Linked DNA regions of Caenorhabditis elegans. The protein of the gene in region 1 purifies or fractionates together with the protein of each later gene. This does not show direct contact. Each region holds a gene or a part of one and is shown on either strand. Other genes may lie near its edges. The genes, in order: alg-2 and ain-1.

Region 1 (8,144 bases):
TTTTTTTTGCAAAATTATCCAAAAACTAAAACTCAAATTTCTAACAACTTTTACAAAAACTTTCGTGTTGCAAATGCGTTGCAAAAATTCTGACTTACAATTTCAAATTTTTCTGTGGCAGAACCTGTTCTGCGGCGCGCAGGTTCGATTTTATGCAAAAATTTTTTTTTGAAGTTTAGCATTACACCTCAACTATGGAGGCTTATATCTTGATGGAAAATTGTTTACTGGCAAAATAATAAATATTACTTTCACTATAATTTTTTATTAAATATTCTAAAATTATCTAATGTACATACTAGTTTATAAACTTCCAAAGTTGGACTCTTCCCAAATTTTCCTTTTTTTCCAGCTGCACCGAATTCCCTCACTGCTTCAACATCCCGCTGACCTATGAATCCGAGCTTAATGTCTACGGTAAGAAGAGAACTGAAAACTTGGACCCTTTGGAGTTTATGCCACATGTCAGTTGGTGCCTGGTCTTCGAAGTGATGCCAATTGGAAGCGCTTTACCATTGGAGGACTGATTTTTCAATTTGCTAATTTTTTTTTTCAATTATGTCTTGTTGTCGTGTTTTTGATAATCTGAAATTTGTTGCGTGGATTTTAATAAAATGTTTTTTTGGTACTAAAAATGTTCCTAAATTTTTCTATATTTTGCTAGTTACCGGCTCAACGAAGGTGGTATATTTTAAAATCTGAATATCTGTAAATCTACAAAAGTTAGCAAAAGATTGTCAATTAACAAAATAATCTACGCAAATTGTTCTATAAGTTGTTAATTTACAAATTTTTTGTAGCTCAACTTTGAGCATAGTTATGATAGCTCTAAGTAGGGACAGGTTACCTGATTTTTATCAATTTTAAAACTTAAATATCTCCAAAAGCATCAAAGCTAATAAAAAATGTTGGGTATCTACGTGTACCTTACCCTTAACGTGGATATGAAGATCGTGTAACGTGAACTCATTATCTATGTATACTAACTTTCTATTTATTCCTTAGTTATGTAATAATAAACTACTCGTCTTCGCCTCCTTGTTCGGCCTCGAATATATAACATTGGCGATCAGGATCTTTCGGGCTCACTGCACCACTGACTTCATGCACATGTCTACTTAGAAGAAAAGACCTCTGAGGTATTGTTTTGATCTACACATGTCTACTGGGAAGAAAAGACCTCTGAGGTGGATCAGGTCAGCTTTGGGAAGAGGCACCTGCCGTGCTCTCTGCAGTTGCAGTCAAGGTGGACAGGAGCGGCTTCTGGTTTGAAGTCGAAAAGAAGAAGGAATCATTGCTCAACTCTTTTGAAGATGCGAGTGAAGGCCACCTATGCGTTTCAAATGCTCAGTCATTGGACGATTGCACAAATTGTTATTGGTCATAACATGATCCACAACCAGGAACTGGGATACAACAGGTTGATGGTGGAACAGGCGGAATCAGTGTGGATGATTCAAGGTTGGGTCTAATATTCAGGCAGCAACGTTTTTTTAGTCTGTTGGTGAAGGGTGGATAGACATCAAAAATATTTCGATTGGTACGGGAAGTGTGGCTAACTTGGAACCCGCAATTGGAGGATGTGAACACCGAAGTACCGTGTGCAAAGGATTGGCAATATCGACGGTCACACTGGAGGGTGGTCCGTGAGAACCTCAGAAGACATTCGTGGATGGCTCCTCACCAAAGCTCTCGTTTGTCATTGAAGAGGGGAGATGTTGGGTATCTACGTGTACCTAACCCTTAACGTGGATATGAAGATCGTGTAACGTGAACTCATTATCTATGTATACTAACTTTCTATTTATTCCTTAGTTATGTAATAATAAACTACTCGTCTTCGCCTCCTTGTTCGGCCTCGAATATATAACAAAAAATTAATAACAGGCAAAATGATTTACACAACTTTCTCTATATTTTCTTAGTTGACAACTTTTTAATATCTCAACTTACCGCAGAGTTATGACGGCTCAAACTAACCTTGGCTCGCTGCCAATTTTCCCACGTTCCTCCTCCTCCTCCCCCTACCCGAACAGTCTGCCCCCAAAACTGTGTCTGCGTCTCCTTATCGCGTCCCGTCATCTAACACTCCCAACGGACCGTCTTCCCACCTGTCAATTTCCCTGTTTCTCTGCGTCTATGTTCCCTCTGCCTGTACACAATGGTCCTAGACTTGGAAAATTATCGATTTTCGGTTAGTGGTCCGAGATTACCCGCGCGCGCGCATTTTTGAGAGGCCAGCTGTGTTGGTCAATCGTTTTTCTTGCGATTAGGGGGTTTCTCTTTTCATTTTCTCAGTTTTAAAAATAGTTTTCATTTTTAATTTTGATTTTTCTCATTAAAACTTTAAAAAGCTTAAAGTTTTCTCTAATTTATTAAGTTTAACATTTAGAAAATAAGATTTTCAACCCAAATTTCCATATGAAAATCGAAATTTTATCCCCTATACAATTCAAATTCCCCACGCTCCCCAACCCTTTTCTAATTGAGTTTTGGGGTGCATCGAAAAACACGCCAGTGCACCGAAAGTGCGCCAGCTAGCCCGTTGACGGCATTCCTTCCCCCGAGGGAACACCCGCTTTCGCAATGACTTTTGAAGCCGATTTTGGAGGTCTAAACTAGTTTTTTTGAGATTTTAACTAGAAATTCGAAAAATTCAGTTTAAATTCTATATAGATCTTAGGTTTTTTGAGGAATCTAGGTAAATTTTGGATTTACCAATTGGTATAGTAAAGTTAGTGTGGTTTTTTAGATTTTTGAAGTTCTCAGCAAATTTTCCTTTAATTTTGCCAAAATTTTCTATATTTTCCACAGCGAACTTTCAATTTTAAAATACTCTGAACAAATTTACTAAATAAAATCGAAAATTTTTTGGCATTTTATCGATTTTTCTCAAGTTGCCAACTATGTAATAACCTCTATGATTTCAGAGAGATTTTTGATTTTTCCCACTTAAGTATGTCTGCACTTTAAACCAAAAATTATGGGGTTTCATGCTTAAAGTTCACATTTTTTCTGTGTCTGGGTGTGCTGCTCCGTTTTGTTCTTTTTCGTGCAGCTTCTCATTATCAAATAAAATGTTTTCAGAAATGCCCGGCGATTCGCTGACATCGTCGTCTTTCATGCCAGATGGTGGCGCAGAAACGTCGAGCTCTTCACAGTTGGGCGGCTCGGCTCACGGAGCAATTGGGTAAGGTTTTGAATTTTGTGCAAAAGTTTTGACTTAAATCTGAGTTTGGCTCGATGTGGAGCAGGAAGTCTAAGCTTCTGGGCTTGTTAGAGCTGGATTTTGGGCCCAAAAACTATATTTGGAGCCCAGAACTGGGAAACTTAAACCAGAGCCTCTAATAACTTGAATCTAGTGAAAAATCTGACACTTACAAAAAAAACTGAAGTTACTTCAGACTTGGACTTTAAATTTAGAATGTGAGCTCACATTGGCTGAGCTTCAAGTTTTTAGAATTTTGGGCTTTAGCTATAATTCTATTAAAATTTTTAGAGAATGTCCGGAAATTTCAGTCCAAGCTTAAGCTTAAGCCTAGACCTAAGCCTAAACTCACACCTAAGCCTAAGCCTAAACCTACGCCATCAAATTTAAGCCTAAGGTAAATACCACCCGACTAAACCAAAGCCAACTCTTGAGCCTAAATCAAATTCCGACCTTCAGCGTCTGTTGAAGCTTTCAATTTAGACTTAGCCTAGGCAAGCCCAGAAACTTTAGCTCCAGGCCTGATTTTTATTTAGTCTTCCTGTAAGATTCCTGAATCTCTAATTTTCCAATTTTCAGCACAAAACCCGACGCAGGCGTCCAATTCCAGTGCCCAGTCCGTCCGAACCATGGAGTCGAGGGCCGATCCATCCTCCTGCGAGCCAATCATTTTGCAGTACGGATCCCCGGAGGTTCAGTCCAACATTATCAAATTGACGTCTTTCCGGACAAGTGCCCAAGACGGGTTAATCGGTAAGTACTTTTTCTATTGATTCGGGGTTCCCTTCAAAACTTCAGCTCTGAAATTTTAATCATTTTCAGCGAGGTAATCGGCTGCCTGATCTCCTCCTTCTCAAAATATTTCACCAATATTCGACCAGTCTACGATGGAAAGCGTAACATGTACACGCGGGAGCCCCTACCAATTGGCACGGAGCCCATGAACTTTGAGGTGACGCTGCCTGGAGATTCAGCAGTGGAACGGAAGTTCTCAGTGACGATGAAGTGGATCGGTCAGGTCTGTCTGTCAGCTCTGGACGATGCCATGGAAGGTAGAGTGCGGCAGGTTCCACATGAAGCCGTTCAGTCGATCGATGTGATTCTTCGCCACTTGCCAAGTTTGAAGTACACCCCGGTTGGAAGGTCGTTTTTCACACCTCCAGGTAAGATCTCAAGTTGCTTGGTTAAGGATCTAGGACCTAGGATTTAGGATCTAGAGTATAGGATCTACGATCTAGGGTCTAGGATCTAGGATCTAGGATCTAGGATCTAGGATCTAGGATCTAGGGTCTAGGGTCTAGGATCTGGGATCTAGGATCTAGGGTGTAGGATCTAGGATCTAGGATCCAGAATCTAGAATCTAGGATCTAGGCTCTGGGATCTAGGCTCTAGGATCTAGGCTCTAGGCTCCTACGCTCCCAGACAAACTTCAATACTCCAACTATATCTTTTAGGCGTCATGAAGCCCGGCATGCAAATGCACCAGGAGAGCAAACTCGGTGGAGGCCGCGAAGTATGGTTTGGATTCCATCAATCCGTCCGACCATCCCAATGGAAGATGATGCTCAACATTGACGTCTCCGCCACGGCCTTTTACCGCGCGATGCCAGTCATCGAATTCGTCGCCGAGGTGCTCGAGCTCCCAGTCCAAGCTCTCGCCGAGCGTCGGGCCCTCTCCGATGCTCAACGCGTCAAATTCACCAAAGAGATCCGTGGACTCAAGATTGAGATCACCCATTGTGGAGCCGTGCGCCGGAAGTACAGAGTTTGCAACGTCACACGCCGCCCGGCCCAGACCCAGACCTTCCCATTGCAACTGGAGACTGGCCAAACTATTGAGTGTACTGTAGCCAAGTACTTCTTTGACAAGTACCGTATCCAGCTGAAGTACCCCCACCTTCCATGCCTCCAAGTCGGTCAGGAGCAGAAGCATACGTACCTGCCACCAGAGGTCTGCGATATTGTTCCAGGACAGCGTTGTCTGAAGAAGCTCACCGATGTGCAGACGTCCACCATGATCAAGGCCACGGCTCGTTCCGCTCCAGAGCGTGAGCGTGAGATTTGTAAGCTAGTAAGCAAGGCTGAGCTCTCCGCGGATCCATTTGCTCATGAATTCGGAATCACTATCAATCCAGCAATGACTGAAGTCAAGGGACGTGTGCTCTCGGCTCCGAAGCTTCTCTATGGAGGTCGTCATCGTGCCACAACTGCCCTTCCGAACCAGGGAGTCTGGGATATGCGCGGGAAGCAGTTCCACACTGGAATGGAAGTCCGTACCTGGGCGATTGCATGCTTTGCTCAGCAATCTCATGTCAAGGAAAATGATCTCAGGATGTTCACGACTCAATTGCAAAGGATCTCTACCGACGCTGGAATGCCAATCATCGGTACCCCTATGTTCTGCAAATATGCTTCTGGAGTGGAGCAGGTGGAGCCGATGTTCAAGTACTTGAAGCAGACCTATTCGGCGATTCAGTTGATTGTGGTGGTGCTGCCAGGAAAGACTCCGATCTATGGTAAGTTGATTAATTGTAGGTGAAAGTTCTAGGGTGTTGGTGTAAGCTTTACGCTCCTAGGTTCCAAGGATCTAGATCTTAGATCATGGAGTCCTGGGATCCTAAGCTGCTAGGCTCTTGGAATCCTAGGTTCCAAGGATCTATGGCCTAGATCATTGGGCTCTGAATCTTGGGACCAAGATCATCTATATCCTTACCTCTTCAACCCCATCTGAAGCTCTATATTTTCAGCCGAAGTGAAACGCGTCGGAGACACCGTCCTCGGAATCGCCACCCAGTGCGTCCAGGCCAAGAACGCCATCCGAACCACCCCGCAGACACTCTCCAACCTCTGTCTCAAGATGAATGTGAAGCTTGGTGGAGTCAACAGCATCCTCCTGCCAAACGTGCGTCCACGGATCTTCAACGAGCCCGTCATCTTCCTGGGTTGCGACATCACCCATCCAGCAGCCGGTGATACCCGTAAGCCATCCATCGCCGCAGTGGTAGGATCTATGGATGCTCACCCGAGTAGATATGCGGCAACAGTTCGGGTCCAGCAGCACCGTCAGGAGATCATTACGGATCTGACATATATGGTTCGAGAGTTGCTTGTCCAGTTCTACCGTAACACGAGGTTCAAGCCAGCCCGAATTGTGGTCTACAGAGATGGAGTGTCTGAGGGTCAACTCTTCAATGTGCTCCAATATGAGCTCCGCGCAATTCGTGAAGCTTGTGTGATGCTTGAGAGTGGATACCAGCCAGGAATCACATTTATCGCTGTGCAAAAGAGACATCACACAAGGCTCTTCGCCGCGGATAAAGCTGATCAAGTAGGAAAAGCATTCAACATCCCACCAGGAACAACTGTAGATGTGGGAATCACGCATCCAACGGAATTCGACTTCTTCCTCTGCTCCCACGCTGGTATCCAAGGAACATCCCGACCATCTCACTACCATGTGCTCTGGGATGACAATGATCTGACGGCCGACGAGCTTCAACAGTTGACCTACCAAATGTGTCATACCTATGTAAGATGCACGAGGTCTGTGTCGATCCCGGCGCCGGCGTACTATGCACATCTGGTGGCGTTCCGTGCTCGTTATCACTTGGTCGATAGGGATCATGGATCCGGAGAGGAAGGATCACAACCTTCGGGGACGTCGTCGGAGGATACAACATTGTCAAGCATGGCCAAGGCCGTACAGGTGAGCATTGTTTGGATTTTGAGATAGAGTGTAGGCAGAAGCATAGAGCTAGGATCTGGGCCTAGATTATTTATCTAGACTGAGATCAGGATCTGGGCTGAGGCTTGAGGCATAGGAGCCTAGGAGTCTAGAAGCGCAGTCCTTGAAGCATAGACCAAGACCCAGACCTAGACCTAGACCTATACCGAGAACTAGACCTAGACCTAGACCTAGACCTGGACCTAGACCTAGACCTAGACCTAGACCTAGACCTAGACCTAGACCTAGACCTAGACCTAAACCTAGACCTAGACCTAGACCTAGACCTAAACCTAGAACTAGACCTAAACCTTGATCTAGACCTTGATCTAGACCTAGACCTAGACCTAGACCTACACCTACACCTACACCTACACCTACACCTACACCTATACCCACGCTTTCCTAACCTACTAATTTCAACTTTTTCCAGGTTCATCCCGACTCGAACAACGTCATGTATTTTGCCTAAGTCTCCAACTACGGATTCTCTGCCATTTCACAGCCACTTGTTATCTATGCATCTCGATTTTCATTTTTCCCGTTTCCTCTGCCCCCTGAGATTTTCATGTTTTTCCTTCCCCTAATTATCAATATCAATCAATACTTTAATATCTTTCAAGCCCAGGTTTATAATATTTCCAATTATGTTAGGTGTTTAATTTTCACCAAGTTTTTTTTCCATTTTTTTCCAAATTTCTTGAGCCATTTTCCATACTAGCCACACAATGCTTTTTCGATCCTCCAAATACTTTCCATTTGTGTCTTTATCCCCCTCTGCTCTAATTAAATACGACCTTATCACTCAATTGGTACACTTTGTTGTAAACTGTCTTTCTCTTAGTATCTGAAAAAAAACCTCATGATTGTCCTGTTTTTCAACCCACCCCCACCCACAATGCCTTTTTGTGTTTCCCAATGGCAAGTCCAACAGAATAAAGTGATATTTTGGAACCCACAGGATGTCCGCTGCTATTAGGGGGCCCGTAAGATGGGCGCTGTTTCTGTACGCCAGTGAGATGTCCGCTGCTTCTAGAACACCATTAGATGTCGGCTGCTCTATTGGGCTCGGGGCATGTCCGCTGCTTTAGCAAACGCTGCTCTATTAAGCCCGTATGATGTCCGCTGCTATTAGGGAACCTGTGGGATGTCCACTGCTTCTAAAAGCCTGATTGTCTCCTACTTTGCACCAGTGATCCCGTAAGATGCCCG
Region 2 (6,992 bases), on another chromosome or scaffold:
TTTGTGATAGCAAATTAAAAAAATATTTCAATGTCATAATAATTAACTAGAAGCTTCAATAATGAACTATGAATAGCATATAAGTTTGAAATCTATTGATAAAAGATTATCAACAAAAAAGAAAAGAGTTAAACCATGTAAAACTTTTAGTCAAGTGTTAGAAATGTGTTGATTGAGTAGCCCCTCTCGAGACGCGAGTAAGAAATCGATTGATCAACGATAGGTGGGAGGCAGTGCGCTGGGCCCTACGCTCACCATCGGCATCTCTGTGCAACGCGTACTATCTCGACGACCCATCTGTCCAATTGCTACACGCATTCGCGATCTTGTTCCGCGCTGGACCACACTACCAACACTTCCCGCTTGACCCTTTCTCTCTCCCGGAGCCTAATAACACCTGCTTTTTCTACTGGTCGTTTTTTCTTTTATTAATTGCCTCTTTTCTCTCAGCGTGTTTGTTTTTTGTCTTCTATTTTCAATTTTGAAAAAGAAAAACATTTTTCTCGTTATTCAAAAGTTTCTCTTCATGTTTTCTTCTCCGTGTGAAAAACAGTATAGATTTCTCATTCCCAATTCTCTTCCACCTCACCGGGTCACGTGAACTTGATGCGAAGGAAAACAAACCCTCAACTGTCTAGCACTCACAGTTTCTGGTTCCCGAGCGGTGGCGGCACACAAGGTCGAAAAAATTCAGTCACCAAAAATTGATAGCCTCGGCTGTTTTGGCGTGTCAAATTAATGAACACTGTCTTAAGAATTTCAACATAATGTTTCATCTTTTTCCTTTTTAGATTTATCATCTCCTGTTTGAATTTAAATATTTCACAAAGTACAAAAAGTTACGATATAGCCAACTTTTCATAACAGAGAAAAACCACTGTAATGTCAAATTTTCAGAAAATTGGTGAATTTCTGTTAAATATCCTTAGTATCCTCAATTAACAAGTTCCTAATCAATTTCTCTCCGAATCTATTTCCAACCAAAAAGTGTTTCAAGTTTGGCATGTCGCCCGTCCCGCTGTTCATCCCGTCCATCTTCGCTCGTGTGTCCCGTCCATCCCACATATCGAAAATATATTGGTAGTGTGTGTATGTGTGTGTGTGTGTAGAACTGGCCACACAGACGTATATACTGTTAGATACGGGGAGAACCACCAGAGATGAAGAGAAATGGTGGTGAGTGGTCGAGCGCACGTCGATGAGTGTCTATGAGTGCGGTGGTGAGCGCATGAGCGCGTGAGTGTGCGGCGGTGCGGTTTCTCCGTCTCTACACGACATGAAACCCTCTCAGTTGACCCTACGTTCCTTCTTCTCTCTGCACACACACACACATACACACAGCGGTCTCATTGATTCGTGAAAGAAAAAGAGAGAGCGAGAGTGCGGGAGGGTGGTCTGATGAGTGAAGCGTGAGCGGACAGACTCACGGGGGTTAGTAGTAGTGAAGCGAGGAAAAAGTGGAAAGACGGGGAGTTTCCGCTGCGTCTCTCGCCCGGCAAGCAATTTGATGTTGGCCTCTCACTATGAGATGGAGAGAGACAGACAGGGAGAGAAACGCGCAATGTCGTCGCCGGTCGCCTTCTCGCCCTCGATCGGGGTAGCCAGCAGCAGCAGCAGCAGCAGCAGCAGCAGCCCAGCCAACCAGCCTGCGAAGCACCAGACCCCTCTTCTAACTAGTCTCTCTCCTTCTTCTGCTTTTTCCTTCTCCTTTCTCTCTTTCCTGCTTTTTCCTTAACCCCTTGTCCGCCTAGTTCCCACCTAGCCAGCAGCGCCCCGGGGGCTTTTGGGGCCTTTCTTTACAACAGTAGTTATGTAGGTTGTACAAAACTTATTAAATTTTTTAATGTTTACCTTTTTACAGGAGAACGCTTTTTACACTGAACTTGTTTCTATCTAGCAGTATTGCATTAATTAATAGTTTATGCTTTCTAACTTTGACAATGATCTTGTAAAACATAATTTTGCTCAATACTGTTTGAATGGCTTTAGATCATTTTTTATAAAATTTCTATTAAGCTGATACTCCTGGTCCGTAAAATTTTCAATTGCCTTCATGAAATCCTGCTCGTTACGCGGCTAATGTTGTTCGACCAATGTACCCATGTCGAAATCAAATAGTGTTATCAATCAGTCTATCAGTTTCTTTGTTTTCTCTTGTCATCTATCATTTACCATCACGCTCTCGCCAAAACTCATCAATCAATAATATTCCATTTTTTACAGATAAGCTCAAACTCTGATCGCCAGAGCGCGATCAACGCAACCATGGAGAGTCTCGCAAAAAACTTCAACAACATTTCAATAGACGACGCAGCGTGGCATCCTAACGACCAACAGCCTGTATGGGGAAACAACGGTCTCCAGCAGCAACGTGTCTGGGCTCCGCCGGTACCGCAGCCACAGTTCCCAAACAGATCGCCATGGCAACAGGAATCGAACGATATCGGTAATTGGCAATTGTAATCTTGATGACGTAAAAATTGTTTCAGAGCCAAATGTCAACGAAGCCCTTGTTGGACTCAGTGGCACAGGCTCATCAAGTCAAAGCCAATGGGGTGGCATTCAGAATACAGATTATGAGAAACAGATATGGGGTGATCCACCATTGAGCGATGTGCAGTATCCACTTCAACCACATGCCTGTAAGTTCAAATTTGATTAGACGTTATATTTATAAATTTAAATCTATAAATTTTCAGCGTTCGGTGAATTGAATAGTCTTGGAGGTCAATCTGCGCCTTGGTCCATAGGGTCTCAGCCAGCGCACCCGGTTTGGAGTAACGGAGGAATGGGAAAAGAATCTGATGACTTTTGGAAACAGCAACAGCCTCAACAGCATCAGCAATACCCGATGCCATTGCTGCAGGGAGCCTGGAATACAGGCATGAGACATGGACCACCAGGACAAGGACAACGTAGTGGGCCAATGATGCAGCAGCAGCAAGACTACCAAGGGGGATGGGGTGGCCCGAATAACATGGGTGGCAACAAGCAGATGAACCGTCCATGGGGGCAGGACAGCAATCGTGGAATGTCAGGCATGCCGCCCCGAAACGGTCGTCCAAACCACAACCAGGGACGGTACTCTGGCAATATGGGTGGCGGTGTTGACGTTTCAGTTCCACCACCGATGGATATGCACATGGGAGGTGGTATGGGTGGAATGAGAAATATGGGTGTTGCTCCGAATAGTGGACACGGATCATGGAAGAATAACAATGCTGGTGGAGGTCAAGGAGGCCACGGCGGTCAAAGAAACTACAACAACCGTGGTGGAATGGGACACAGTGGAAGCCAGAGTGGCGGAGGATCCAATATGTGGAACAGCACCGGAAACAATGGAAGTGGTGGAAGCATGCAGCAGTTCATGGGAGGAGACCAGCAGTACAACAATCCATTCCCAATCGGCGGAGCTGCTGATGATCTCACACTGACTGTTTGGCATGATCCAAACGGAGAACTCAAGAAATGGCAGAGAGATACTGGAGTGTCCTATTGGGGAGACCCGGAGAAGCAAAGTGAGTTTTTTAAAAAAATATTTCCTTGGTGGGAATTGAATGAAATTCTCCATTGTTTCATGAAAAACTGAAATTAGTCTAAATGTGTTGCTATAGAAATCACCTATTATCGACTATTTTTGCAGCTGACCGTACCATTAGCTTGTGGATTGTTGGCGAAGGTGCCGATGAGGATTTGGAAACTGCATTGAACCGATGTCCAGTACCACAGAAAAAGGTAATATTGTTGTCTTAGGTATTAAATTGAACTTCATGTCTCAGGGAGAGGACAATCAACGTTTCCCATTCCCAGTACCAGCGAAACGGCCAATTGTTGTGACCGGATGGGGAGAGCTTCCAGAAAATGATCCAAACAATCCGTCCAAGAGCGAGTCGACGATATTCGACGAGAACAACAGATGGAACGACTTGACAACTGAGCAAAATCCATGGTATCTTCCGAATCAGCACACTTCAACATTCTCCAGTGACAACACCACTGGATCGTGGGTGCAGGGAGGAACAATTCCACTCAATGAGCCCGGAACCAATCAACACGTGGCTGTGGCGGAGATGCTGAAGAACGCTGTCGACAAGGGATACCTGGACCAGAGCGTGACGATGATGGCCAACTTACCGCCAATGGTGCTGCAGTATGTCAATATGCTGCTCGTCAAAATTCCAGCGTTGGATAGTGTGGAGAATGAGCTGAAGCAGATAATTGAGAGTTCTCTGCCAGAAGATGTGAAAGAGGTTGATCCACAGAATCAACAAAAGTACATGAATGATAGTCAAAAGGTGAGGAAGATTGTCGAGTTTTCAGGTTGTTCAGGATAAAATTATGAAAAATTAAAATAGTAGAAGCCAAAATAATTATCATACTACAACCTATTATTATAGGAAACAAATGAAAGCTAGACATTTTGCTAGAAATTTAAAATATCAACCTTACCAGAAAACTAGCTTAGATCCTGCTTAAACCTAGATTTTAAATTGGGCGGCGGGATAGCTCAGTCGGTAGTGGTGGCCGCTAGCAAGCTGGAAGTCATGAGTTCAAGCCCCCTAGGTTTACCCAGCCTCTATTGAGAAGTGGAGCAATCAACGACTGGATTATCGGTCACGGTCCCCGGCTTGAACGTGGCTCAAATAATAGCCCGGTGGGAGCCCCACCAGACAGTGCACTACGGAACTGAATTCCAGATCCGCAGTGCATAACACCTGAAGTACGGATCGTCCTTTAATCCTTTAATATCAAACTTTTGAAAAATATTAGACGCATCGCTAAGGAGCTCAGATTACTTCAGTTCGATTGCTTGCAAAGATGAATAATATGAATACCAAACAAATCAATTTTCCAGCTTGAACACAATCGTCTCATCATCGAAGTGACGACAGCAAAGATTGAAGTTCAAGAATACTCGAAAAAAGTGAACCGTGCGCTGATGGACGCTGGAATTGTGCAACCGCAGGAGCAACGTGCGCCAGCCTCAACGGAGGACTATCACTACTCGTTCTTAGAATAGATTGTATCGCCCACCGATCTTCTCTCCCACACACGAACAATTATCATCATTACTTTTATTTTGTGTTTCGCACTGTAATCTGAATTTTAAGTTTGGAAATTTGAAATTCAAAGTTTCAGCCTTGTCATCATCATTTCCCATTAACTTGTCTCAGTGACCTTTGACATTTTCTTCAATACTTTTTTACTCTCCCCCTTTCTCTTTAATTTCGTGTGTGTGTGTGTCTGTTTCCTTACTTTATTGCCTCCGGATTTCTATTGTAAACGTGGTCTTGTGAATGTTCTCTCTATCTTGTCGTCTCCTTCCTTCTTTACTGCTGATCAGACGGGGAAAATTACACGTTTTTTGTATTTCACCTCTCGTTTTGCCATCTCCAGATAATCAATTTTTCTTGTTTAAGGGGAGGCTCTCGCCTTTCCCCCTCCCACTAAGAATAATTTGGTGGCTGGTGCTTGGTCTCACAGGGATTCCAGGTTTATGTCTGCCAGTTCATACCTTCTCTTCTCTCTCTCTCATAATAGGGGTCTTTGTTCCAACAATTTCCAACCACGCGTAAATCCATCTTACTTTCCCTTTTCCATAACATCCAAACCTCAAAATATAATAAAGTCCATATTAATCAAAATACTGTATTTCTTTTTTTAAATTGTATCCTTTCGAAAATATAATTCAGTTTTTGGGGCTATTTCCACTAAAACTGCACTTTCTGCAGAGCCTCTGCGAGCATTTTCACCCCACTACTCTTAATCCCCCACGTTCACTTTTCAATCAAGCTATTCCCATTTTTAATTTGAATCAAAATTTCTGTGTATGCTTTGCTTCCAAACGTCATTTGTAATCTGGGTCTTTTCTACGTCATTCTTTACAGTTTCAATGTGCTAATGTCTCCCGTCTCTTGTCTCTTTTTGCTCTCACCCTCACTCACTAAGTTCCAACCAAAAATTGTGATGAAATTATCCCTGAAAACTTGTCAAAATTGGTTCAATCAGCTACATGCGCACACTTTGAAAATCATACAAAAATAAATACAAGAAACGCCTTTCTAAACGATACATAAACTCGTCGTCCCGGCAGCATTTCCCTAGAAACCAGGTCAATTCCTAGTACGGCCCTTTTCCGAATTCTCGCTCTCAATTTCAAACAAAATGGTGTTCTCATTTCATTGTCTTCTTCTCCAAACTTACCGGACTTCAAATAAACTCATTATGTGCAGTACAGTTTCACAATTCGGGACCCTCTCTCTTCCAGAAATTTGTCAATTCCCCTCTCTCATTTCTCACTCCGGCTCTCAAAAATCTTGATTAAATCTCGCATGAACATGTAATAATCAAAACTGTTTTCTTATCTCTTACCATACTTTACTTGTAACACCCATGCCGTCCAACATCACCTTTGGTTCTATTCTCGTATAATAAAACGTTGTGAATTAAACTCTGGAATGTTCAATTTTAGGGAGCAGAAATGAAATAGCACTGTTTCTGTATTTATTTTAATATTTATTTCAAGTTTTAGGTTTGAGTGTATGATAGAAACACAATTAATATTTTGTATTCAAAATAGCCAATTTGTTCAGCAACCGCTTTTTGGTATCACCTGTGCAGCCAGAAACCATTTCTCGTAAAATAAAAGCTTGTCAAAAAGATTCTCCCCGGCCGGGAATTGAACCAGGGTCTCGCATGTGACAGACGCGGATACTCACCACTATACTACCGAGGACACATTTTTCAAAGAATTCGGAGGCTTTCAAAATCATTAATGTAAGTTGAAACCAGATTTACTCTGCAATTCTTACTTAAATTGTAGCATTTTGGCCGACTAATAGTATGTAAAATAAATATGAAAAAACAAACATAAAATAATTTGACAGTTGACCTTGTCGCATTAAAACCAAAAGTATACAAAATATAAGCTGCCAATGATGCATGAGCAAATGTATAGCCTGAAAAAATAAGTACTCAAGTTTGCCACTTAC

The links.
Region 2: the proteins of alg-2 (region 1) and ain-1 purify together in Caenorhabditis elegans (affinity purification with western blotting; one study listed by BioGRID). This does not show direct contact.

Annotation. Positions count from the first base shown.
Region 1 is NC_003280.10:871,073-879,216, forward strand, and holds the start of alg-2 (Protein argonaute-1), read left to right. Parts: upstream 1-2,139; coding exon 2,140-2,194; intron 2,195-2,579; exon of another isoform or gene 2,580-2,708; intron 2,709-3,087; coding exon 3,088-3,190; intron 3,191-3,787; coding exon 3,788-3,961; intron 3,962-4,030; coding exon 4,031-4,371; intron 4,372-4,414; exon of another isoform or gene 4,415-4,615; intron 4,616-4,662; coding exon 4,663-5,724; intron 5,725-5,955; coding exon 5,956-6,914; intron 6,915-7,365; coding exon 7,366-7,404; 3' UTR 7,405-8,144. Other genes in the region: fbxc-51 (F-box C protein), read left to right, coding at 353-527.
Region 2 is NC_003284.9:16,611,228-16,618,219, forward strand, and holds ain-1 (ALG-1 INteracting protein), read left to right. Parts: upstream 1-2,223; 5' UTR 2,224-2,265; coding exon 2,266-2,446; intron 2,447-2,489; coding exon 2,490-2,642; intron 2,643-2,699; coding exon 2,700-3,518; intron 3,519-3,643; coding exon 3,644-3,735; intron 3,736-3,779; coding exon 3,780-4,295; intron 4,296-4,644; exon of another isoform or gene 4,645-4,793; intron 4,794-4,855; coding exon 4,856-5,020; 3' UTR 5,021-6,448; downstream 6,449-6,992.